Rattus norvegicus: one gene and its partners. The protein of the gene in region 1 interacts with the protein of each later gene in a pairwise test. Links are inferred from orthologs where the notes say so. Each region holds a gene or a part of one and is shown in the gene's direction. Other genes may lie near its edges. The genes, in order: Lsm1, Lsm2, Clic1, Psmb5, Psmb8 and Lsm4.

What was found.
Region 2: the proteins of Lsm1 (region 1) and Lsm2 interact in binary tests that used the Homo sapiens proteins (3 or more experiments, as listed by UniProt). The link is inferred for Rattus norvegicus from reciprocal best matches to the Homo sapiens genes LSM1 and LSM2.
Region 3: the proteins of Lsm1 (region 1) and Clic1 interact in binary tests that used the Homo sapiens proteins (3 or more experiments, as listed by UniProt). The link is inferred for Rattus norvegicus from reciprocal best matches to the Homo sapiens genes LSM1 and CLIC1.
Region 4: the proteins of Lsm1 (region 1) and Psmb5 interact in binary tests that used the Homo sapiens proteins (3 or more experiments, as listed by UniProt). The link is inferred for Rattus norvegicus from reciprocal best matches to the Homo sapiens genes LSM1 and PSMB5.
Region 5: the proteins of Lsm1 (region 1) and Psmb8 interact in binary tests that used the Homo sapiens proteins (3 or more experiments, as listed by UniProt). The link is inferred for Rattus norvegicus from reciprocal best matches to the Homo sapiens genes LSM1 and PSMB8.
Region 6: the proteins of Lsm1 (region 1) and Lsm4 interact in binary tests that used the Homo sapiens proteins (3 or more experiments, as listed by UniProt). The link is inferred for Rattus norvegicus from reciprocal best matches to the Homo sapiens genes LSM1 and LSM4.

Annotation. Positions count from the first base shown.
Region 1 is NC_086034.1:72,981,582-72,985,081, reverse strand, and holds part of Lsm1 (U6 snRNA-associated Sm-like protein LSm1), read left to right. Parts: intron 1-362; coding exon 363-478; intron 479-3,500. UniProt on the Homo sapiens protein: Plays a role in the degradation of histone mRNAs, the only eukaryotic mRNAs that are not polyadenylated. Probably also part of an LSm subunits-containing complex involved in the general process of mRNA degradation.
Region 2 is NC_086038.1:3,848,866-3,853,165, reverse strand, and holds the start of Lsm2 (U6 snRNA-associated Sm-like protein LSm2), read left to right. Parts: upstream 1-1,500; coding exon 1,501-1,503; intron 1,504-1,672; coding exon of another isoform or gene 1,673-1,783; intron 1,784-2,033; coding exon 2,034-2,101; intron 2,102-4,300. UniProt on the Homo sapiens protein: Plays a role in pre-mRNA splicing as component of the U4/U6-U5 tri-snRNP complex that is involved in spliceosome assembly, and as component of the precatalytic spliceosome (spliceosome B complex).
Region 3 is NC_086038.1:3,775,568-3,779,715, reverse strand, and holds the start of Clic1 (chloride intracellular channel protein 1), read left to right. Parts: upstream 1-1,348; 5' UTR 1,349-1,580; coding exon 1,581-1,619; intron 1,620-3,409; coding exon 3,410-3,519; intron 3,520-3,707; coding exon 3,708-3,833; intron 3,834-3,968; coding exon 3,969-4,075; intron 4,076-4,148. UniProt on the Homo sapiens protein: In the soluble state, catalyzes glutaredoxin-like thiol disulfide exchange reactions with reduced glutathione as electron donor. Reduces selenite and dehydroascorbate and may act as an antioxidant during oxidative stress response.
Region 4 is NC_086033.1:32,044,580-32,048,665, reverse strand, and holds the start of Psmb5 (proteasome subunit beta type-5), read left to right. Parts: upstream 1-1,286; 5' UTR 1,287-1,297; coding exon 1,298-1,495; intron 1,496-2,199; coding exon 2,200-2,506; intron 2,507-4,086. UniProt on the Homo sapiens protein: Component of the 20S core proteasome complex involved in the proteolytic degradation of most intracellular proteins. This complex plays numerous essential roles within the cell by associating with different regulatory particles.
Region 5 is NC_086038.1:4,654,232-4,658,200, reverse strand, and holds the start of Psmb8 (proteasome subunit beta type-8), read left to right. Parts: upstream 1-1,169; 5' UTR 1,170-1,219; coding exon 1,220-1,366; intron 1,367-2,041; coding exon 2,042-2,189; intron 2,190-2,317; coding exon 2,318-2,429; intron 2,430-2,797; coding exon 2,798-2,927; intron 2,928-3,114; coding exon of another isoform or gene 3,115-3,297; exon of another isoform or gene 3,298-3,320; intron 3,321-3,346; coding exon 3,347-3,551; intron 3,552-3,839; coding exon 3,840-3,928; 3' UTR 3,929-3,969. UniProt on the Homo sapiens protein: The proteasome is a multicatalytic proteinase complex which is characterized by its ability to cleave peptides with Arg, Phe, Tyr, Leu, and Glu adjacent to the leaving group at neutral or slightly basic pH.
Region 6 is NC_086034.1:18,788,967-18,791,886, reverse strand, and holds the end of Lsm4 (U6 snRNA-associated Sm-like protein LSm4), read left to right. Parts: intron 1-371; coding exon 372-413; intron 414-807; coding exon of another isoform or gene 808-887; exon of another isoform or gene 888-1,381; intron 1,382-1,388; exon of another isoform or gene 1,389-1,408; coding exon 1,409-1,507; intron 1,508-1,584; coding exon 1,585-1,765; intron 1,766-2,023; coding exon 2,024-2,115; 3' UTR 2,116-2,420; downstream 2,421-2,920. UniProt on the Homo sapiens protein: Plays a role in pre-mRNA splicing as component of the U4/U6-U5 tri-snRNP complex that is involved in spliceosome assembly, and as component of the precatalytic spliceosome (spliceosome B complex).

The DNA of each region.
Region 1 (3,500 bases):
AGTGAAATGATACAGAAGTAACTTATTCCTACCATCAGTCACTCATTAGCAAAACATAGTCAGAAAGACTCTTTCCTTGTCTGAAAGTCTCCTAAAACTGAACATGCCTGCAATCTCAGCATGTATAAGAAGTTGAAGCAGGAGAATCACCACAAATGCTGGGAAGGCCTGGATTATATCATGATTTCCAGGCCTGCTGAGGCTAGAGTAGGACGCTGCCCCTTAGCCCCCCAAAAAAGAAACCAAATTTTCATAAATGGCTTATTGCTGAAATTAAAAAAAAAACAACTAAGTAATTGAGTTATAGACCTTTATAGTCAACAATATGAACTGAATATCTGTTTCTTCTTTTATGCTTATAGCTAACCTAGTGCTCCATCAGACTGTGGAGCGAATTCACGTGGGCAGAAAGTACGGTGATATTCCTCGAGGGATTTTCGTGGTCAGAGGAGAAAATGTGGTCCTACTAGGAGAAATAGTAAGTGAGACTGTTAAACTGCTGTGGATCTGGGCACTGATGCTGGCTGCTGCTTTCCAATTTCACCACATTTTCTCACAGGAAGCCACCAAGTAGGGAAGCTGTAGTTGCTAGAGCAACACTGAAGAAGGTAATTAACGTTAGTCTGTGGCCTTTGGCGTTTTAAAGATTTGATCTCACTAGTAAATGTTACTGGCTTCACCCAATAGAAAACAACATTGCTGGTGTAGCACACATACTAAGATGTGAACAGCACAGAGATTAACATGGCCGGTGCAGGGGCAGCACACATGTGTAGTGACTGAATTCAGCTTGGCCTGCATGAGTCCCTGTCTCCAACACACTGGGCTAGGCAGATGGCAGTTTGCTGTACAACCATGAGAGCCTGAGCTTGGATCCCCAGCACTCAGAGCCCGGCATGGTGTCCAAGGCTGTAATCGCAGCACGGGAAAGTGAAAACAGACAGCTCTGTGACCTCAGAGGCCAGCCAGTCTAGCACACACCAAGAGTTCAGGTTCCTTGACTCAAAAACTGAGAGAACAAGGTAAAGACGCCCTGTGTCGGCCTTTACTTGTTGATGTGCATGAACTTGCAGTACCACCCAAGTACTGCTGTAAACTGTATTAATGCCTCACTTTAATGCTGTAAACTGTATTAACCCCTCACTTTAATGCTGTAAACTGTATTAATGCCTCACTTTAAAATAGTTTCGTGGTGGGGCTAGAAAGAGGCTCGCAGTTCAGAGCACTTGCTGCTCTTGCAGAGAACATGGGTTAACTTCCCAGCAGCCACATGGTGACTTACAGTCATCAGTAACTTAAGCTTTGAGGGTTCTGATGCCATCTGTAGGTTCTAAGCATGAACAGGTTGCACGTAAACATTCTTCTTAAAAAGATGATTATGTGAATCAGTCTGAAGAAATTATGTACTAAAGCTCAGAACCATAGCCAGAATCTATTTAGAAAAACATTGTATTGCATAAGTAGTCTCTAATGGTACCCCATGGTGGCATGGGGGCTGAGGTAGGAAGATCTCAAGTTTATGGCCAGCCTGGGCAAGACCTTAATTCCAAAAAGAAAAAAAGAGGTGCCTGGATTCTGCCTTGATGATGGAGGATCCCAGTCACGGGAATGAGTCACTCAGTGAGTGACACACTGAAAACTAGGAAGAGAGCTAAGAACACTGGCTTTTCTTCATCCAGGAGAGGGTTGGGTGATTATATAGTTTAGCAGATAACTTTTGACCCAGGTGACTTATGCAACTTGCGTGGCTTCTAATCTGGTCAGAGTCCTCCAGCTGATACCACAAGTGCTGAGCTCTGCAACCTTGGAGGCGTGCATGTGTCAGTTAGCATCCAGACCGAAGCATGGGCAGAGGTTTTTGATGAGTGTCTTTCTAAACCTTCTCATCAAAAGTCATTACAGGAGCTGGAGAGATGGTTCAGTAATTGAGTGCTTGCTGCTGTTTTAGAGAACCAAACCATTCCCAGTTCGCACACAGGGCATCTCATCACTGACTGTAACTCCAGCTCTAGACTGTCTGAACCCCTGCCTAGCCCCTGCAGGTACACCCTATACACATAAACAAACAATAAAACAAAATCCTTAGAAAAGAAATCCTTCGGGCTGGAGAGATGGCTCAGCAGTTAAGAGCACCGACTGCTCTTCCAGAGGTCCTGAGTTCAATTCCCAGCAACCACATGGTGGCTCACAACCATCTGTAATGAGATCTGATGCCAAGACAGCGGCAGTGTACTCACATACCTAAAATAAAAATAAATCTTTAAAAAAAATCCAACACAGGAACAGAAACAGGAATATAGATAGCCTGCTGCAGTGGCACACCTGTAATCCCGTGTTCACTAGCAGAGAACAGTGTGAGGGCAGCCTGGGCTACAGAGGGAATTCTAGGACAGCTTTTGCTGAGGAAACAAGAGCGTGTCTGGGCTTATTTGGGGAGAGCCCAGCCATACTTTGCTACTTTGTATAGGTTTTTTATGTTATAGAAATATAAATAATACCTATACATTTTAAGGGTAAACAGATAATGAGGCTCGTATATAGTTCTACATACAAAGTTGGCTATTAAATATTTATGACATTAATACTAATTATATTCTGTGTTAGATGAAAAGAAAATGTAGTCACTATTTTCATTATGAATTTGGTTTGGTTCTAAGTCATAGATGTGCCTGGTTTGACAATACAGCTACGCAGCAGAATGCTTGCCTGCACACCCATGCTCTGGGTGATCCCATGCTCTGGGTGATCCCATGCTCTGGGTGATCCCTTGCTCTGGGTGATCCCATAGAACAAAACAGTTCTTAGGCCTGGAAGATGGTGCAAGGCTGACAATCAGAGCTTTGAAGTCCCATAACTCAAGTGACTGTGGAAGAAGCAGACAGACTCCACCAAGCTGTCCTTACATCTTCACACATGCAAAGACACACAACATTTAAAAACACAGTTCCAGAAGATACATAGAGTCAGTGCTTCTGATAACACATAGACTGGCCTACATCTGAAAATCTTACAACATTCATCAAAGTATTTGTGTTCTTTCTATACAAGAGTTGTAATTTTAAAGTGTCTGTAGTATAACTTTCCTACAGTATGTATTTTTTATTGGATATTTTTTAGTTACATTTCAAATGTTATTCCCATTCCTGGTTTCCTGTCCATAATCCCCCACCCCTCTCCCCCTTCTATAAGGGTGTTCCCTCTCCCCAACCACCCCCCTTCCCCAGTGTATATTTTTGAAGTAAGAAAAATGAAGTAGTATTTTTATTAAACCAAATAATTAATTCAAGCATGGTGATACATGCCTTTAATCCTAGCATTTGGGAGGCAAAGGCCAGCCTGGTCTACAAAGAAAGGTCTATGCTATCCAGGGCTACACAGAGAAACTCTGGTCAAAAAAAAAAAAAAAAAAAAAAAAAAAACTTAAATAAATTTTTTTAAGCTAAATTACTAGAGAAATTGAATGCATTGGACCAAACTAGAATGCTTACCTGGCCTCATGA
Region 2 (4,300 bases), on another chromosome or scaffold:
ATAAGGGCAAAGTACTTGAATTTGTGTAAGTTGAGCATATCCAACAATTTTTTTTTTGGTTTTGAGGCAGGTCTGCCTCAAATGTCTTTCGTTCATGCTGCCTACATGACTGGAATTACAGAACGTTACACCTGCCAGGAAAAATATTTTCTAATTCTCAGGCACCCTGAGCCCATAGGAAGCAGCTGCTAAATGTACTGACTGCTTCTAACCAGTGACAGCCTCTTTTAGATTCAGGTGTTAAAGTTTCTGTTGAAACTCGGTAACATCTTGCTTGGTAATCATGATGGATCCAGCTCTGAACACAGTGATGTGCACAGGTGGAGTGGGGTAGGTAGGACAGAGAGGGAAGACACATCTTAGGGTCTTGCTGGCAAGTCAGTCTAGCTGAATGAACCTGTCCATTCCAGGATCAGTGGCAGATCCTGTCTCAGAAAATGAGATGGCTAAGTCGTTAAGGACATATGTTGCTCTTCGGCAGGACCAGGGTTTGATTCCCAGCACCCGTATGGTGGCTAACAACTATAACTCCAGAGGATCCAACACACTCTTTTAGTGTCTGGGAACACTGCACATGTGGTACACAGATATACGTGCAAGGAAAAACTCACACATATAAAATTTTAAAATATTAAGTAAGTGGAAAGAACAGCCAGCATTCATCTCTGGCCTACACAGGCAGGCATGCTCCAAGCTTCACCCAGACCCCCAGGAAACCGACTTTTTTGGTATCATGCAATCAGCAGGCCTAGTCTCTCAGAATTCTCACCTGTGTACCATGACTGCCTTGCACCAACAGCCAGCCTCGAGAAGACAAAATAGCAAGTGTTTTCCTATTTATCCAGACATGATATCTACAGAAGCTATAACCTAGCAACTTCCCATTTAATTACTAGTAAAAATAATACGGCTGGAGAGATGGCTCAGCGGTTAAGAGCACTGACTGCTCTTCCAGAGGTCCTGTGTTCAAATCCCAGAAACCACACGGTGGCTCACAACCATCTGTAATGGGATCTGATGCCCTCTCCTGGTGTGTCAGAAGACAGCTACAATGTACTTATATATAATAACTCAATCTTTTTTAAAAGAATATGCAAGTCATAATTTTCTCAATCTTCCCAATAATTCTCAGTAGAAAGCGTAGAGTATGAGCAAGTCACCCGGCACAGAGAAGAATCTAAAAAATTATCAGGGAGGCGAACTACATCCAACGCGCAGCTGCTATGGCCCACGCACGCGCTCGGGAGGGAGGAGTTCCTTGGGAGGAAGTGGGAGACAGGAAGTCCCGCCCTCCTCCCGGTTTGGCGGTCCTCTCTGCTCTGCCCTACTCCGCTCCCTTTGAGCCCAGATTCAGCCGCGGTTTTCGCGGTTCCCCTTGCGCCTGCGTGATCCTGTCCTGCCTCACGCGCGGGCTCGTGCTCCGGCTCCCGCCCTGCCTCCGGCCCGCAGTCCCCGGCGCCTTCCTTCGCGGTCCAGGCCGCCCCTCGTGGCGCCAGCACCATGGTGGGTACCGTGACGTCAAAAGGGAGCGCCGCCGCCCGCGGCGGGCGGTTCGAACTGTTCGGGTCTTGGTTGCGCTCTAGTGTTTGTTGCCTTGGGCTGTAGCTAAGCCCTAGGGTTTTCCTTACAACCTCAGGGCCCACACCCTGTGTGAGGAGACTGCTTGGAACCAATGGTTTTTTTGGGGAAACTTCCAGCAAGTCCAAGAGAAAGCCCACGGGCGCCGGGGGAGAACGGAAAGCTAGTCTTGCATTTCCGTGCTGGAGATCAGGATTTTGTGAGGGTGCGGTTGGGAAGCGGTCTCGAGCAGGGAGGTGGTCGATTCGGAGAGTGGGTTCTGGCATCGAGGGGTGCAGCGCAGTTATTGTCTCTCTGTGGCCCCAGGAATTGCAGTCTCTGTTAACGGATTGTTGATGGTGGTGAAATTTTGAGAACTACTAGGTGGGGCCAAAAGGACTGGTATTTCAAATGCCGTCACGGGTTCCTCCTCCCTGTCCCTTTTCATGTGATAGTTCCTCCCTCTTTTCCAATAGCTCTTCTACTCCTTTTTCAAGTCCCTTGTGGGCAAGGATGTAGTCGTGGAACTCAAGAATGATCTGAGGTAGGTCTTTATTTCAGCGAGTTGGTGGAAGGTGGGAGGTGCCTGGTGTCCTGATCGTTTTCGTGGTTGTTGTTCACAAAGCTATTTTAGAGCAGAGGGGCAAAACACAGAAGAAATATCTTGTGTCTTGAGTGTAAAGATTAGTTTAAGAGTGAGCCTGGTGCTGTGGCACATGCGTGTAATCCCAACGCTGATGCAGAATTGTGAATTCAAGGACAGTTTGGTCTACATATGTCCAGGGCCAGCCAGAGTTACACAGTGAGATACAGTTAAGTAACATGTATGTGCAGTCCTGGATGTCCCGGAACACACAGATCCGCCTGCCTCTGTCTCCTGAGTGCTAGGATTTGCCCTGCTGTATCATTTGCTCTTAACCATTCAGGAGTGGATTAAATGCTGTATCACTGGAAAGATGTTTATGGCTTCTTGTCACATCATCCATTAGAGTCTACTTTCTTTTTTTGTTTGTTTGTTTGTTTATTATACATAAGTACATTGTAGCTGACTTCAGAAACACCAAAAGAGGGCATCAGATCTCATTATAGTTGGTTGTGAGCCACCATGTGGTTGCTGGGATTGAACTCTGGACCTCTGGAAGAGCAGTCAGTGCTCTTAACCATTGAGCCATCTCTCCAGCCCCTAGAGTCTACTTACTTTCTTTCTTTCTTTCTTTCTTTCTTTCTTTCTTTCTTTCTTTCTTTTTTCTTTTCTTTTGTTCGGGGCTGGGTACTGAACCCAGGGCCTTGCGCTTGCTAGGCAAGCGCTCTACCACTGAGCTAAATCCCTAATTCTAGAGTCTACTTTCTTAATAGTGCTTAGAAAATTATAGGTGTCACTGATGTCTATTTTTTTTTTCATGTACTGGATGGGCATGCTCAACAGGTGAACTTCATTTCCAGCCCTCGTGTTTCTTTTTAAAATCCTTTTATTTGTAGACTCTTGAAACCTTTGAGCACAGGTCAGTGCTTGAGAGCCTTGATTCTAAGACAGAACGTGGTGTTGACAAGCAGGATGGTTATGGCCAGTGTGGGCAAGTGAGAGGCTGGCCCAGGCCGGGGTGGAGAGTAGCTAAGACTTTTTCTAGTCTAAAAGTCAGACCACACAAGTGTTCTTCCACAGAGCAGTGGGGGTTCGTAGAATGTAGAGAGTGAAGAAGTAAAATGCAGGATCTGGGGTTGTTAATTAAAATTTTAATTCCTCTGCACCTCCGTGCAGTGGGTAAATATAAGATGGGTAACATGGTGTGGGAGCAGTGGCTTTGATAACTGTACTCAGGACTAGAGGGTGGGGGAGTGTAGCATTAATAATAGTTAATTTCAGCTGCCATGTATATGTAGGTCTCTGGCTCCAAAGCATAAATGTTTACAAGTAACAGCTATTGGAGCTGCAGAGATGGCTTGGTGCTTTAAAAAGAGCTTGCTGCTCTTCCAGAGAAATAGAGTTCAGTTCCCGGCAGCTACATTAGGTGATTGACAACAGTTTGTTGGGCTGAATACAACTCCTTAGAACTCTGGCTTCAATGGATCTGATGCCCTCTTCTGGTCTCTGTGGGTAACTACATGCACATACACACAAATAGTAAAAATCAGTATTTAAAAATAATGGATGTTTCTGGGAGTCGTGCAGATCAGGGCTGACATTCCAGTTCATTTGTGTAAGTTTTGGTACCTTACATGACCTCTCATAAGTCCTGGATGATACTACTTTGAAAGGTGATTAGCTGAGTGGTTGATGGCTGTTCATCCCTTAAACCTTTAAACCTAGCCCTCAGGAGGCAGGGGCAAGGGCAGGGGCAGGGGGGAGTTTGAAGCCTGCCTTATCTACAGAGCTAGTTCTAGAACCCCACAGGGAAACCCAGTGGGCAATGGCCATGAGTAGTGCTCCTAGCTGTAGTTCTAGAACTTCAGAAGTGGAGGTAGGAATGCCAGAAGTTGGAGGCCAGCCTGGGCCAAGTGAGAACCTGTCTTAAAGTGGAAATACTAATATTAAATGGAGCATAGGCCCGGCCTGACTACGAGCTTCTGATGTGTTGGTGTGAGGACAGACTGAGTCTGAGGTGCTTTATCATTTCCACCTCAGAACTTACAGGGGCTGCCTGCTGGCTTCAGGGCCTAGAGTTCCTCCCCCCTTGTCACTGTAGTTCTGATTTTCCCTCTGCTGATTCCAGCATAAATGAATGCTTCTCTCCTCTTTGCTCCC
Region 3 (4,148 bases), on another chromosome or scaffold:
GCCTTCCCCCAGGGAGGAGAACACTCTCAGAAGAGGAAGCACGAGAGGAAACCACTAACTTCTGTTCCAGCATTACATGCATCACTCCACCTCAGCCCCCCTTGTCTCTTTCAGTTCTCAGTCCAGTTTTGTTTCTCAGTCGTTCCAAGTCCAGCATATTTTTCTTCAAATTATATATATATATGCACACATATATAATATGCATACAGACACATATATATGAGTATGTGTGTATGCATGTATACACACACACACACACACATATATATATATTTTAGACTGAGTAGAAAAAAAAGGTAGTTGGACAGTAGAGAAACTTAGAGTGTGGAGGTTAGACATTGGCAGACCTGTTTTTAGATATTTTTAAAAATTGGTGGTAATAGAGCTCTCACTTCAGCAACACAAACACTAAAACGGGAACGTTACAGAGATCAGCAGGGCCCCTGGGCAAGGATGTCACACAAATCCGCGAGGCGTCCCGTATTTTTATTTGCCCGTGCTTGACGTAAAGTCATGGGTAATTAAAAGATACCGAAGTGGGGGAAAAAAATAGGTAGTCAAGTTATATCTCTATACTACAGTTGGATAGAACCTCCAAAATCGAGCCTCCCGGGGAAAGTTACTTTTTCCTGACTCTGCTCACACTAATCTCTCTGACCTTTGCTTTTTACTTCCTGTGACAGAACCAGTCGCCATCCCACCCACCCCAGGATGAGCCCCAGTGCTATCCTAGTATCAGGATAGGTCTCCAAGGCAACCTTCACCACTGAGAGGAGGGTAAGGGGCCCAGGCTAGGGAAGTCTAAGCGTTGACAGGCTTTCAGAGGACCGCCCCCTGCCGTGGAGCCTGGGCTCTGCTTCCTGTTTCGCCAGCATCAGGCCTCCTGGTCTCTCCCGGCCTGTGCCTACGAGTGCCCTTCACCCATCCGTATTCCTAACCTCACTAACTCCTTCCCAATCCCCCTCCACACATACAGAGCACAGTCCCTCCCAGCAAACCCGAAGACAAGACTGGAAGTGAAAAGAACGCAGAACCCTTGCATCCTCAGACTCCCTTTCTGCACCCTCGTGGGGGACGGAGGGGGCCAGTTCGCTAGTGTCAAGTTTCCCTGTTTGAACGTGGCCACCCTTCTCATTAAAGAAGCGAGGAAACTGAGGCACAAACGTGGTGCTGTGCTTAGGAATGGTCAGGGCATCGAGGGAGCCCCGGGACCTCCCTCCTAACACTTTATCCCTGAGATCCCCGAGACCTCTGCCCTCTGTCCCGGACCCACTCCCACGATCACCGAGTCCCCTCCCCACATGTCCCCTCCCCAAGTCCAGGGCGGGGCCGGTCGGTGAGTCAGCTGCTCCCTGAGCTAAACGGGAGGGAACGAGGTGGAGCAGCTGGGTGTGGGGTGCACTGAGCCGGTGGGTAAGCCGCGTTGGAGAGAACTAAAGGGTCTGATCGGACTTAGGTTGCGCCGAAGGGACAGCTCTGAGTCTGGAGGAGAGAATCCCGGGCCGTGAGACCCGCCTTCCCTTGCCCGGGCCCCTCCCAGTTCCCCCAGCGACGGCTGCTTCCTGGTCCCCGACGCAACCATGGCTGAAGAACAACCTCAGGTCGAATTGTTCGTGAAGGTAAGAACACCTTCTCTTTCTTTGGCCACTCTCAGAATTTCTGCAAGCCAATCCTCCCCTCTCCTGGGCTCCAGCTCTAACTCCCCAACCCCTTCCTAGTTGACCCCACCCCTAGCCCTGGCGCTGTTTTGCTGGGAGGTGGGGGTGACTTGTGAGACGGTAATGAGAGTTCCAGACTCTCTGAAAAGTTTATGGAAGAGGTTTCCAGCAGCTTAAAGGAGAGAAAGGTGAAGAAATGGGGTTTTCAGAAGTGAGAGAGTGAATGGGGTACGGTGCGGGGTTCGGGGGGGGGTGCAGACGACTGAAGGACCGAGAAAGGGACAGAGGTGGGGTTCAAGAAGAAGAATCGGCTAGGACGTGTGGCCCTATGAAAGAAAGAAAGATGGGACAGAGAGAGAGAGAGAGAGAGAGAGAGAGAATCTAGAAGGGTTGAAGGATGAGTGTGTCGCAGAGTGGAAGCAAAGAGCCTTCACGAAGCAGCACAATCAATGGCTGAGATGACTATCCCCCCACCCACCCCTCCAGCTAAGGGAGGCTAGAGACTGTGAGGCAGGAAGGAGATTAAAGTTTAGCCATAGTTACTTAGGAAGAGAGGAGAGCTCCAAAGGGGACAGGAGACTCCTTGGGTTAGATTAAAATACCGGGGCTGATGGGTATGGAAGAAAAAGCACCCCCCCACACTGCCCTCCTCCTTCATGCCATCCTCTCCGTGGGTGTGGTCAAGGAGAGATGGTCCTGGGCTTTTGGGTTCAGAAACCGGTGGCTGCAGCTCTCCTCCTCTGCCCAGGCCCGGCCACTCCGGCATCACCCTTCCCCATACCCCCATGCGGTCCCTTCCTCTCCGGGCAGGTCTCCTCCCAGTGGGTGCACATTCGCACCCCCTTTTGCTTCTCCGCCTCCCTTTGCACTCCTGGTTCGTCTTGTCTGTGTGTTGGGTGTCCTGTTTATCTCTATGCTTTTTTTTCCCCTCTGGGTTTTCCCTGGCAGCCTTTCCCAGTTTCTTGGCCCTGGGAAGAGAACTGGAGCCTAGGTCCGCCCCTTAGGTGTGGTCCCCACCTCACACTCGCCTCCAGGGGCTATTTTTACCCTGAGTGAGGTGATGCTGTGGAGATGTTGGCCCTGTGTCCTGTGAGGAGGATCTCAGAGAATCAAAGAACGAGAAGAGTGAGGATTTGGGGAACTGGAAGGGTGTCAGTAGCTGCCTAGGCCTCTGTGAGTACAGATCCCTGCCCCCACTTCCTTGCCGGGAAGGAAGCTGCTGAGGCCTGAAGACACAGAAATGAATCACCCTCAGTCTAGGGGGAGGTGTCCCTTGGGGGATGAGGTCACCTGCATCCAATTAGAGAGTTGCCCCCTTTGTTAGGCCCTCCATATCGCTAAGGTGAGGTTAGGTCCTCTGGCTCACCAGCCCAGCTTCCAGAAACAGCTTGAATAGAGGTTTAGAGAATGGGGACCCGGTTTCCAAACCCTGCCCTACCTCTCTGCTCCACTGGAGAAGATCTAGTATTCAATTCCAGCCCCACCAAGTACCCTATTCTCCACCTTTTGGATCCTGATTCTCAAAGCTAGCCAAGACTTAACTGTTCCTCTGCCTCCTCCCCCCTGTCAATCACTGGGATGCCACCGGCGCCTACCTTTGCTGATCCAGGCCCAAAGGGGAAAATAATTCGGCCCTGGGGGTGGCTTAGACGTCTTAGCAGTGTCTGTCAGGACTAGCAGGAGATTCAGAGAACAGGTCTGGTAAGGATGAGGTGCACCAGGCCTAACTCTGGGGTGCCGTTGCTTTTCAGGCTGGGAGTGATGGCGCCAAGATTGGGAACTGCCCCTTCTCCCAGAGACTGTTCATGGTGCTGTGGCTCAAGGGAGTCACCTTCAACGTTACCACCGTGGACACCAAGAGGTGGGCCCCCTCCTGCCCCTTTCAACATCCCTTATGTAGACGCATGTGCACACGTATGCGCATGCGCACCCACGTGACCCCCTTCTACCTTAAACCTGTCTCGCTTGTCTGGAGCAAATCTACTTCTCCTACATCCCGAGGTCTCTGGTCCCCCCTTTTCCTTCCTTGACACGTGGCCCCTTCTCCAGACGGACAGAGACGGTACAGAAGCTTTGCCCCGGTGGGCAGCTCCCGTTCCTGCTCTACGGCACCGAAGTGCACACAGATACCAACAAAATCGAGGAGTTCCTGGAGGCCGTGCTGTGCCCTCCCAGGTACGGGGGACACTCGGAAAGAAAAGGGGAACTGGGAGGCTTTTCGGAACAAAAGTTGAAGAGGGGAGGCAGGTGGCCAGCCTTAGGGCAGAGTCCCCCCCAGAAAGGACTTCACCTTATCCCTCTGCCTTCCAGGTACCCAAAGTTGGCTGCTCTGAACCCCGAATCCAACACCTCGGGGCTGGACATATTTGCCAAGTTTTCTGCCTACATCAAGAACTCAAACCCGGCCCTCAATGACAGTGAGTGTTGTGGGTCAGGGGTTTGGGTCCTACAGAAGATTCTAGGGTTGGGGCACCAGGAGCCCCCGTGAGC
Region 4 (4,086 bases), on another chromosome or scaffold:
TAGAAAGTAACTCTACAGTGGTGAGCCATCTTTAATCCCAGTGCTCTGGAGCCAGACCAGGCGTGAGGGGCCCAGTTTGAGGCCAGCTTGGTCTACACAGTAAATTCCAGCTCAAGCCATGACTATATATGGAGACTATTTTTCAAAAAACAAACAAACAAACAAACAAACAAACAAGGGAGTTTGAGTAATGGCTCAGTGGTTAAGAGCATCAGCTGCAGGGGTTGGGGATTTAGCTCAGTGGTAGAGCGCTTGCCTAGGAAGCGCAAGGCCCTGCGCTTATGTGTTTACTTTATGTATATGAGTGCTCTATCTGTATGTACTCCTGCATGCCAAAAGAGGACATCAGAACTCATTATAGATGGTTGTGAGCCACCGTATGGTTGCTGCTGGGAATTGAACTCAGGATATTTGGAAGAGCAGCTGATGCTCTCCCCCACCCCCCCCACTCAGAGCTGGGGACCGAACCCAGGGCCTTGTGCTTGCTAGGCAAGCGCTCTACCACTGAGCTAAATCCCCAACCCCATAAATCTTAAAAAGAAACAACAAAACAAAAATCTGGTGTGTGGCTCAGGCCTGCTGTCTCGTTAGTCTGAAATAAGGCAGGAAAACCTGGCCAGTTAGAGGGTAGCCTGGGCTATCTACCTAGTGAATTTAAGAACAATCGTACGCCCATCTTTAAAAAACCAAAAACCAAAAACCAAAAAGCCACAACAACAAAACCCAAACTATGGTATATAAATGCTATCAAAAAAAGAGGGGGTGGGGTTTTTGTTGTTGACCACACTATTGCGGCTGAATTAAAACCATGGGGAAATGCCCTGAAAACAGTTATTTTAGCCAGTATTACCATGAGTGGCCTTAAAGAAAACGACTACAGTCTCCTTAACTGGGTTTTCAGAAATAGGGACGCTGCTTATAACCTGAACCTGGGCCTTGGGCGGTGAATCCAGAATCCAGCTTAGATTCTCAAGCAGTCACGCCCTTCTCAAAGATGGCCGAACTCGCTTCCCTCACTCGACGTGAACGTTCCAACCACTCTCTAGGAATTTGAAGTTAATCTTAGCCGTACTGCTTCGACACCAAAGTAAAAATGACAATCTTAACCATTTAGCGTTCTCCTTCGCCCTTCCTAGCTGAAAACAGTCGGGCGCTGGTATTTGGAGGAGTGGTTGCCCGGAGTAAAAATGGCGCCTCCTCCGCATACTTAACTGGGCGTGAAGCTGTGACGTCGCGGCGTTGCCCGTCCGTTCTTTGGCGGTGTTCTCGGAGGCAGTTCCTGTTGCCCTTGCTAAACATGGCGCTGGCCAGCGTGTTGCAGCGGCCGATGCCGGTGAATCAGCACGGGTTTTTTGGACTCGGAGGTCGTGCAGATCTGCTGGACTTGGGTCCGGGGAGTCCTGGTGATGGGCTGAGCCTAGCCGCGCCGAGCTGGGGTGTCCCGGAGGAGCCACGAATCGAAATGCTTCATGGAACCACCACCCTGGCCTTCAAGGTACTCAGACAGCTCGCAATTCTCCGGCATCTCAGCGAGTCGGGCGGAGGTTCGGTCCTCTCATCCCGATCCTTAGCGGTTTCACTGTCTCAAAACTTTGAGAAAGGGGTGGTGGGCGGGGATGGGGAGCAGTGAGGGAAGGAGACGGACAGCGTGGGTTGACTCCTAGGCAACCCCAACTCAGGCGCCCTATCTGGGAACAGTAACAGCGGACCGTGGTGGAGGGAAAGAAAGCTATTATCGCTGTTCTCCCAAGCTTTTTATAAACTTGGAGTCCCCTCCGGGGAGCTTGATGAAGTCCAGGGACTATTGCAGTGAGTGCCAAACAGTTAGGGTCCCTGTTCCAGCTCTGCAATAACTGGCTCTGGATCTTAGGCCAGTCTTTAAAGATTTATTCTTATTTTTGTGTTTTGCCTTTATGTATATTCACCACGTGTGTAGTGCTCGCAGGGGCGCCAAAAGAGGGCATCGAATTCCTTGGAACAGGAGTTACAGACCTTTGTGAGCACTGGGAACGGAAGCTTTGAAGAGCAACCAGTGCTAAATCAGGGATTGCTCTTAAACCCAAATAACATCTAATATATGAAGTCGATTGTAAAACTAAAGGGATGCCAAGCCAGATTATCTTTCTGTATTTATACAAAAATAAGTATTGGGAGTATTTGTGGTCTTATGTGGCCTCTTTTTTTCTTGACCTTAATTAGTTTCAGCATGGAGTCATTGTTGCAGCGGATTCCCGGGCCACCGCAGGTGCCTACATTGCTTCCCAGACAGTGAAGAAAGTGATAGAGATCAACCCTTACCTTCTGGGCACCATGGCTGGGGGTGCAGCGGATTGCAGCTTCTGGGAGCGGTTGTTGGCTCGACAGTGTCGAATCTATGAGCTTCGCAACAAGGAACGCATCTCGGTCGCGGCGGCCTCCAAACTGCTTGCCAACATGGTGTATCAGTACAAAGGCATGGGGCTGTCCATGGGCACCATGATCTGTGGCTGGGATAAGAGAGGCCCGGGTGAGTTGTGCTGTGGTCCTGTGATCCTTGACACCACGGTTGGAGGGGTTGAACGGATCGACGCATTGAGGGCTTTTAATGGGTGCGGAGGATGGAAGTGTTCTTAGCCCTTCCTCCCTTTCCAAGGAAGGCATTGTATAGCAAAGGACAGGGAGTCAGACTTGCTGTGTCACTGACTGCTGAGGTAACCTTTATCCTTAGCCTGTTTCTTCATCTGTCAATTGGTTGAGTAAACCATCACCATGGTTAAGTGCGGTACATAGAAAGCAATTAGTATAATGTCTGCGCGACCGTTCTCCTCCTTTCCCGTACAATAATAAGGACAAGAAAACATTTGTACTTGAGAATTAAATTGATCGATAAACTAGCTAGCATTTTTTGACAGGACAAATTATGAGCTACCCACATTATTTTAATATTTCTCATGAGTAGCCAGGCCGTGGTTATCCAGTACTCAGGAGGCAGAGGCATGTGGCTCTCTGAGTTCGAGGCCAGCCTGGTTTACAGAGGGAGAGTCAAGGACAGAGAAACCCTGTCTCTAAAACAAAAAAAAGAAAAAGAAATTCTCATGAATTGTTTCCTTTTATATGCATGGATGTTTTGTCTGCTCACCATGTGTATGCCTGGTGCCTGAAGAGACCAGAAGAGGGAATTCCAGGGGTAGAATATAGTCACAGAGGGATGTGAGCCACGTGTGGTGCTCAGACTCAAACCCAGGTCCTCGGCGAGAGTGGCCTTGGGGCCATCCTCCAGCCCCGTTTTTTAAATTTTTAAGTTATTATTTATTTGTTAGTTTATAGTGTCTGCGTGGACAGAGCATACATGCAGTTCAGAGGATCACTTGTGGGAGTTGGTTCTCTTGTTCTGTGGATCCGGCTCAGGACATCAAGCCTGGTGGTAGTCGACAACTACATGCTCTGTGATCGTAGACCACTAGGGAGGTTGAAGCAGGAGGGTCAAGAGTTCGAGGCCAGCCTAAGCTATATAGCAGTAGAACAGCCTGAAGCACACAGAGACATTGTATCTCAGAAGTAGATATAACTAGTGGGCTTGATTTATTAGTTGATTTTTTTTTTTTTTTTATGAAATACCCAAATTATTTCTCAGTATTTGGCAGTAGCACCATTTTAAGTGTTGATGTCAGTTTCATGCAGTTGGTAGCCACAGGCGACAATGCTCAGCTATGGAGTTGCCATTTCTGTTCTGTTTCTTCTTTGACCTAAAAGGAGACAACTATCGCAACCCTGGGGTTATATTTTAAGTGTTATCTCCCACCATTCCTGAAGTTCTGTGCTTGAATTATCCAGCATACTTGCCTTTTGGAGTTGCCAAGAGAACAGGAGGGATGGTTTACATGCTGTGAGGAGAGATGAGTGGTGTGAACAGGAGGGATGGTTTATGTGCTGTGAGGAGAGATGGGTGGTGTGAACAGGAGGGTTGGTTTACATGCTGTGAGGAGAGATGAGTGGTGTGAACAGGAGGGATGGTTTACATGCTGTGAGGAGAGATGAGTGGTGTGAACAGGAGGGATGGTTTACATGCTGTGAGGAGAGATGAGTGGTGTGAACAGGAGGGATGGT
Region 5 (3,969 bases), on another chromosome or scaffold:
CGATATTTATAATAAAACTGGTGTTTTGTACCGTGGTTTCTCCTGTTTCTTAGCTCCCACAAACTGCTCGATGAGTTAGCCAGCACCCTTCCCCACACACAGCCCAGTGTCCCGTTCTTCTTCAGAATTCTGTTTTACTGCCGGGTCCATCATCTTCCTGGCGCTCTCATTTCTCTTCCCTACCCACCCACCGACTCCTAGTGCTGAGCAGGACCAGGCGGCAGCCCCTCTGTCCCCGCACTCCAAGGCATCAGCAGCTGCATCTAGGAGCCCCTCTCTTCCTCGCTGAGGCTGGAGGAGGCGCGGCAGCGCAGCGGGGTGGGGGTGGGGGTGGGGGACTCCAGAACTCCAGACTGGATTACCTCGCTGGCTCTGATTTTTCTGAACCTCTCACCTTCTCCTCAGCCGCACACGCCGGAGTAATCTTAATGAAACGGAAAGGATTAGCCAGTAAATCTCTTCCATACAGGGAGGGCCCGGTGGCGTGACGTCAGCAGTTGCTGGGCAGATAAGGTCCGCAAAGGTTGGAAAGAGAGGTGGGGTTTAGGATTCAAGGAAGGAGCGCTCAGCTCTGACTTGCGCGACGTGAACAGCCCAGGGAGAAGGGAGCGTCCACGTGGGTTGCCTCAGGGTAGTGAGACTGTTGGACCGAGAGGGGCCCTAGAAAGGACACATAGAAAGACCCGAACTGTGCCCTCTCCTTGGTTCGTCCTTCCCCATTTTTTTTCCCCTGGTCGTCTCAGGACTTAAAGACCCCGTGCAACTATTTATCGCATTTTCCAGTTTCTATAAAACGATGCTCATTTAAGTGCTGCCCCCATCCCCAGGACGCACGCCTAGGTGAATCTGCTCAATGCTTCTCTTGGGTTCCAACTTTCTAGAGAACCTCTTTAAGGTGACAGGACCCTATCCAGTCCTCAGCTGTTCCCAGAAGATGCCCCTCGCCCCGACTGTGAGTCCTCAAGTACCCCACTGCTAGGTGGCCTCCGAAGGCGCACCTCTTCTTTTATCCCACAGCCCACTCTCTAGCTGGTTTTCATCGACGTGGCATCAGGAAAACTTGTCCCTAACATATTTTTAGTTCAGACACCCGTTAATTGGGCTCTACTCGGAAAGGGCAGGGGTTGGGGGTGGGGGACTGGTTCCCTCCTCTTGGTGCTGTGGCTTTCGCTTTCACTTCCTTGTCCGAGAGTCGACGGATCTCCGGGGCTAAGTCGTCATGGCGTTACTGGATCTGTGCGGCGCTCCTCGGGGGCAGCGGCCCGAGTGGGCTGCCGTGGATGCAGGAAGCGGGCTTCGCTCGGACCCGGGACACTACAGTTTCTCCGTGCAAGCTCCGGAGCTCGCGCTTCCCCGGGGAATGCAGGTGAGGACTGTAGGGGTTCTTGAGAGATGCAGGGGGTGGGTGGTGGTGGTGGCGGCACGTAGGAAGGACTGTCTGCCTGGGTCTGAGGAGGTGAGGAAGCATGGAGGGGCTGTTCAGAAGAGCAGCATCCAGGCCAGCCCTGAAGTTAGTTAACATGGGAAGGCTGGAAGGAGGGAGGATGAGAAAGGGGTGGGGGAGGGAGAGAGGGAGAGAGACACACACATGGAGGAGCCACAGAGAGACTGAGAAGATGGTTGGTGCCCACCCCAAGATACCATGCACAACTCGCCATGCCTTCACAGACCCACGAGTAACGACTACAGGGACTGCACAGTTGTCTTGGAAGACCAATGAACTTGAGAGGCTAACCTGGCCTCAGCAACCCTCCCTATGTATCCTAGGACACGTTAGGTGGCCTAGGCCTCAAGCCCCTCTACCGTAAAACGAGAATACGTTATTAAAATGTGCTTTTCGAGAACCGAAGGAGCCACGGATCAGGAAACACCTTGAAGTCGGCTACCATGGCCTTTGCTCCCGTGTTCCCGAAGGCAGAAAGCTGGCTTAGATCCTGCTTTCCCTTCTTCTGAGACATTGCCCTCTAGGGTCTGCGGACCCCTCCTCACCCCGAAACCCTGCCGGGAGCCTCCTAGAACTGAGGCCTCTTCCCTCTCTCAGCCCACTGAATTCCTAAGGTCCTTTGGTGATGACCAGGAAAGGAAGGTTCAGATTGAAATGGCGCACGGCACAACCACGCTGGCCTTCAAGTTCCAGCATGGAGTCATCGTGGCGGTGGACTCCAGGGCCTCCGCAGGAAGTTACATTGGTGAGTCCCCGGTGCTCCGGTGGCCAGGCCCTCTCAGCAGAGCTTAAGGCCTGCACCTAAGCGGGCATTGAGTTAGAGTGCATCAGGGAGAGCTGGGGCTCATTTCTTGGATCTCAAAACTCTTTCAGCTACCATAAGGGTGAACAAGGTGATCGAGATTAACCCTTACCTGCTTGGAACCATGTCTGGTTGTGCAGCCGACTGTCAGTACTGGGAGAGGCTGTTGGCCAAGGAATGCAGGTGGGCAGGTTTTAATCATTTGTTTGGTGCCCCTCCCCCATGTCCCCTACACCCACTCGGTGGTCTGCTGTGGTGATCATAAGGTTTTTAAAGCCTTTGTGTGATTAAAAAATCTCCCAAACCCTAGCCTGTGTCCCTGTTTATAAACCAGATAATCTGGCAATTATTTAACCGAAAGGATGGTGCCATTCACTAGGCTTTTTAAAAATGTGGTTCAGAGATTTCTAGATCCTAAATCTCTTTTTATTCTTACGTCGCACGGGTTCATACCTTCCAAACACACACCTCTACAATCCCTTCTCCCTCATTCTATGGGAGGGAAGGAATGCTCACCTGCTACCCCTGAGGCCTCCTTCCTCCCCCCACAGGCTATACTATCTGCGGAATGGGGAACGCATCTCCGTGTCTGCAGCCTCCAAGCTACTTTCCAACATGATGCTGCAGTACCGGGGTATGGGCCTCTCCATGGGCAGCATGATCTGCGGCTGGGACAAGAAGGTGGGTGGCCTGCCCCTATGCCCGCCTGGGTGAGAGGTCTCTTACCCATTGAGCCCTCCCCTCCCCTGTGCTTGGTCCAGGTTTTGACGTTTACTGAAGTGTGGCCTGTCTTTTGTTTTGTTTCTAATAAACACATTGTTACAGGTTTTTATTTAAAAACATTTATTTATTTATTTTATGTATGTAGTTGTCTTCAGACACACCAGAAGAGGGCATCAGATCCCATTACAGCTGGTTGCGAGCCTCCAGAACTCTGGAAGAGCAGTCAGTGCTCTTAACCGCTGAGCCATCCTCTCTAGCCCGCTTAAAGTGCGCCAATGTTTCTGTGGTGGTGATACTAGGTTGCCCGCTCTCCGCAAGTCACACCTGATCAATAAACCATTTCCAAGGTCAGCTCGGTATGTTTTCTCATCTTCTAGGGACCGGGACTTTATTACGTAGATGACAATGGGACTCGGCTCTCGGGACAGATGTTCTCCACAGGCAGCGGGAACACCTATGCCTACGGGGTGATGGACAGTGGGTACCGGCAGGATCTCAGTCCTGAGGAGGCCTACGACCTTGCCCGAAGAGCTATTGTTTATGCTACCCACAGAGACAGCTATTCTGGAGGAGTTGTCAACAGTAAGAGCCGGGTGCTCCCCACAGCACCTGGGGAAGCCACGGCTCCCCCAGCCCTTGGGAGAAGGGGGTGAGCTCAGATTGGGAGACTCGGGGGAGACGAGTAGAGATTGTCAGATGTGAGAACACTGAAGTCCCAGACAGAGGTTTGCAGCCTGTGTGTGGGGGCGCGGGGTGTGGGTGCTTAATGCTCATGTCAGGGACTGCTGCTTACACCATATCATCCTGGCAGAGACTCACTGCTTGCTGAAGAAAGGCCTGACGCCATGTTCTTTTCTCAATCACTCACAGTGTACCACATGAAGAAAGACGGTTGGGTGAAAGTGGAGAGCACTGACGTCAGTGACCTGCTGCACAAGTACCGAGAGGCCACTCTGTGATCACTGCTGGGCAGACATCCTCCCGGCCCTGAGGAGCTGGC
Region 6 (2,920 bases), about 54 Mb from region 1:
CCTTCCCACCTGGGACCCGGGGGACTCAAATCATCCCTTTTGGACGCACAGGTACAGGGTGTGGAGCAGAAATGCCAGGCAGGTGTGCAGCCCTGGGCATTCAGAAGGCTGTGGCCAGCATAGGCTGTATGACAAGGCTCTGCCTCAGAAAACCTACCAGGTTGCTACCTCCACACATTGGACTGTGCCCCCTTCTGTGTTTCTAGGTGACAGGAGTTGTGGAGAAATGACCAAAATGGTCCGGGATGTCCAGGTGGCCAACACCTGTAGAATGGGATGATGCGAGGTCACACAGCCGTGTGCATTGGGTAGCCATGCCCAGGTTGTCCCTGAATTGGGGGACACTCCTCACACTGACATTTGCCTTCCAGCTTCCCTTGTCGCTGCTGAAGACAGCCCAGAATCACCCCATGGTAAGCAAGGCTACTCTGGGCCACCTCCCTTCATGTGCCCTCACCCTAGTCCTTTGCAGTTTACGCTTGAAGCCTGGTACGATGGCTCAGTGGGTAGAGGTGCCTGCTGCCAAGCTGCAGGACCTGAATTCAATCCCCAGGACTCACACGATGGTGGAAGGGAGTCATGGCTTCCCTCTCTGCACACAGACAGAAATGCAATACAAAGTAAAATGTCTAAGGAAAATCTTTTAAAAGTAGTGTCAGGAAGAAACTGGGGCACAGTGCAACCCATGTATTCCCTGTCCCATCCCAAGAGTCCCCAGCACAGACAGGTCACCTGTCATCCCAGCTGCCTGGGAGGCTGCAGCAGGAGGATTGCCACTGGTTGAACCATTTTTTTTTTTTTGAAAAGGAGCAGCAGTATGGCTGCGTAGCCAAGACTTGGCCCTGAATGCTACGGGACTGGAGGAACCACAGGAGCGCTGCCTCTGATAGGCAGTGTGTCCCTAGACTTCACACAGCCAGAGCCTAGCCTTACACCTGTCAGCACCCATGTCAAGTTCACCCCAAGCCCTGGCTGCTTGTGTCCTGTGACCACCTACCCTCTGCACCTGCCTTTGCATCTTGTGAACATTTCTGAGTGAGGAGCGTGTGGCTGGCTCCGTGTCACTCAGAGGTTTTGAGTCATCCTTTTCTTGGCTGTGTAATATTCTTCCTATAGGTGACCAGACTGGGCTTGCCCATTGTCCCCTCACTATCCTCCTGTCACAGCCACCAGAGTCCTGGAATCACAGGTGTGTGTCGCCATGCCTACCTAGTGTGGAGTTTTAATTGTCTCTGTCCACACACTAGGTAGGGAACCTGGGTGGTGCCTGCTCATCACAGCACTTGCAGGTGAATGACAGCCCAGCCTCAAAGGTTGATTAGTTGCACAGAAAGCTGTAGTTTGGGATGTGAAGCCGGGTGTGTTTGAGCCCTGGCTGCTTGGCCTAGGCTGACGGGATCTCCTGCAGCTGGTGGAGCTGAAGAATGGGGAGACCTACAACGGGCACCTGGTGAGCTGCGACAACTGGATGAACATCAACCTTCGAGAAGTGATCTGCACATCGAGGGTGAGTGGTTACGCTGGGAAGGTGCATGGCTGGCCTGGATGGACTGTGCCTGCCTGTGACACTTCCCCTCTCCACAGGACGGTGACAAGTTCTGGAGGATGCCCGAGTGCTACATCCGAGGCAGCACCATCAAGTACCTGCGTATCCCGGATGAGATCATTGACATGGTGAGGGAAGAGGCCGCCAAGGGCCGAGGGCGAGGAGGACCGCAGCAGCAGAAGCAGCAGAAAGGCCGAGGCATGGGTGGCGCTGGCAGAGGTAGGGTCACGATGAGGGCGAGGTGGGGAAGGGAGGGATACCTGGACACTCTCCTCTCTGCACCCTGTACAGTCTCCATGGAGGACATAGTGGTGTGGGCTCCTGTTGGGCTGGGGAGGGGAGGGCTCTTTTCCCAGGTTGAGTATAACCTGGCATCTCCCACAGGCCCCTTGCACAGTGGCGTAGGGCATAGAAGGGAAGATCCTTGTCCCTGCCCAGGGAAGCTGGTGTCTACTCTACCTCTTCTGTCCTGTGCAGGTGTGTTTGGTGGCCGGGGCCGGGGTGGCATCCCTGGTGCAGGCCGAGGCCAGCCGGAGAAGAAGCCAGGGCGGCAGGCAGGCAAGCAGTGAGCAGTCCCAGCCTGAACTGAGTCCAGGAAGGTGGGTGAGGAGACCTCCGGGCGCCTTTGCGTGAAGCCCCACTTGGCGTCTGATCCAGTGAAATCCCTGACTGGCCACTTACTCAGTTTCTGGAAGGTTCCCAGTCTGAGTTGACTGTTAAGCCTTGGATGTCCTTTGAAGGGCTGGCTTCTTCCAGGCTTGTTTGAGTTTCATGTTGGAGCTGCAGGCTCCGCACATGGTGGTTTACCTGTCCTTTCCCAGCCCCACCCCCTACGTTTTCTGTTGGAAAAAATAAAGGCAAACACCACAGAAGGAGCCAGCCATCCCTCTGGTTACACGGACCCGACTTACAGTCCTAATCCCTGAGCACGGTTGTCTCACCAGAGGAAGCTGTTCCCTGGGTGTGGGGCTGTCTGTGTGTCCTGCCAGCAGAGGTGAGAGTGCAGCAGACAACACTTTTAGAGGGCAGAGAGGTAGGAGAGCCAGAAGTTTTAGGCCAGCTGGGGCTACAAAGCCCTTAAAAAGCCAAGCCTGTGATGGCTGACCCTCGGGGACAGGCAAGAGTGTGGGAGGTTAAGGCCACGGCTGGCAGGCTGCTCCAGCAAGCAGAACAGCTCTGACCCTGAGTAAACCCAGCACACTGCAGGGAAAGTGCACCTAGGGAGAACACACCATGGGACGTGTGTGAGTGCAAGTGAGAGAGAGACTGTGTGCGTGTGTGTGTGTGTGTGTGTCCATCTGTGTGTGTCCATCTGTGTGTGTCCCCAGCACATGCATACCTGGTTCCCAGAGGGAGCAGAAGATGCTGTTGGAA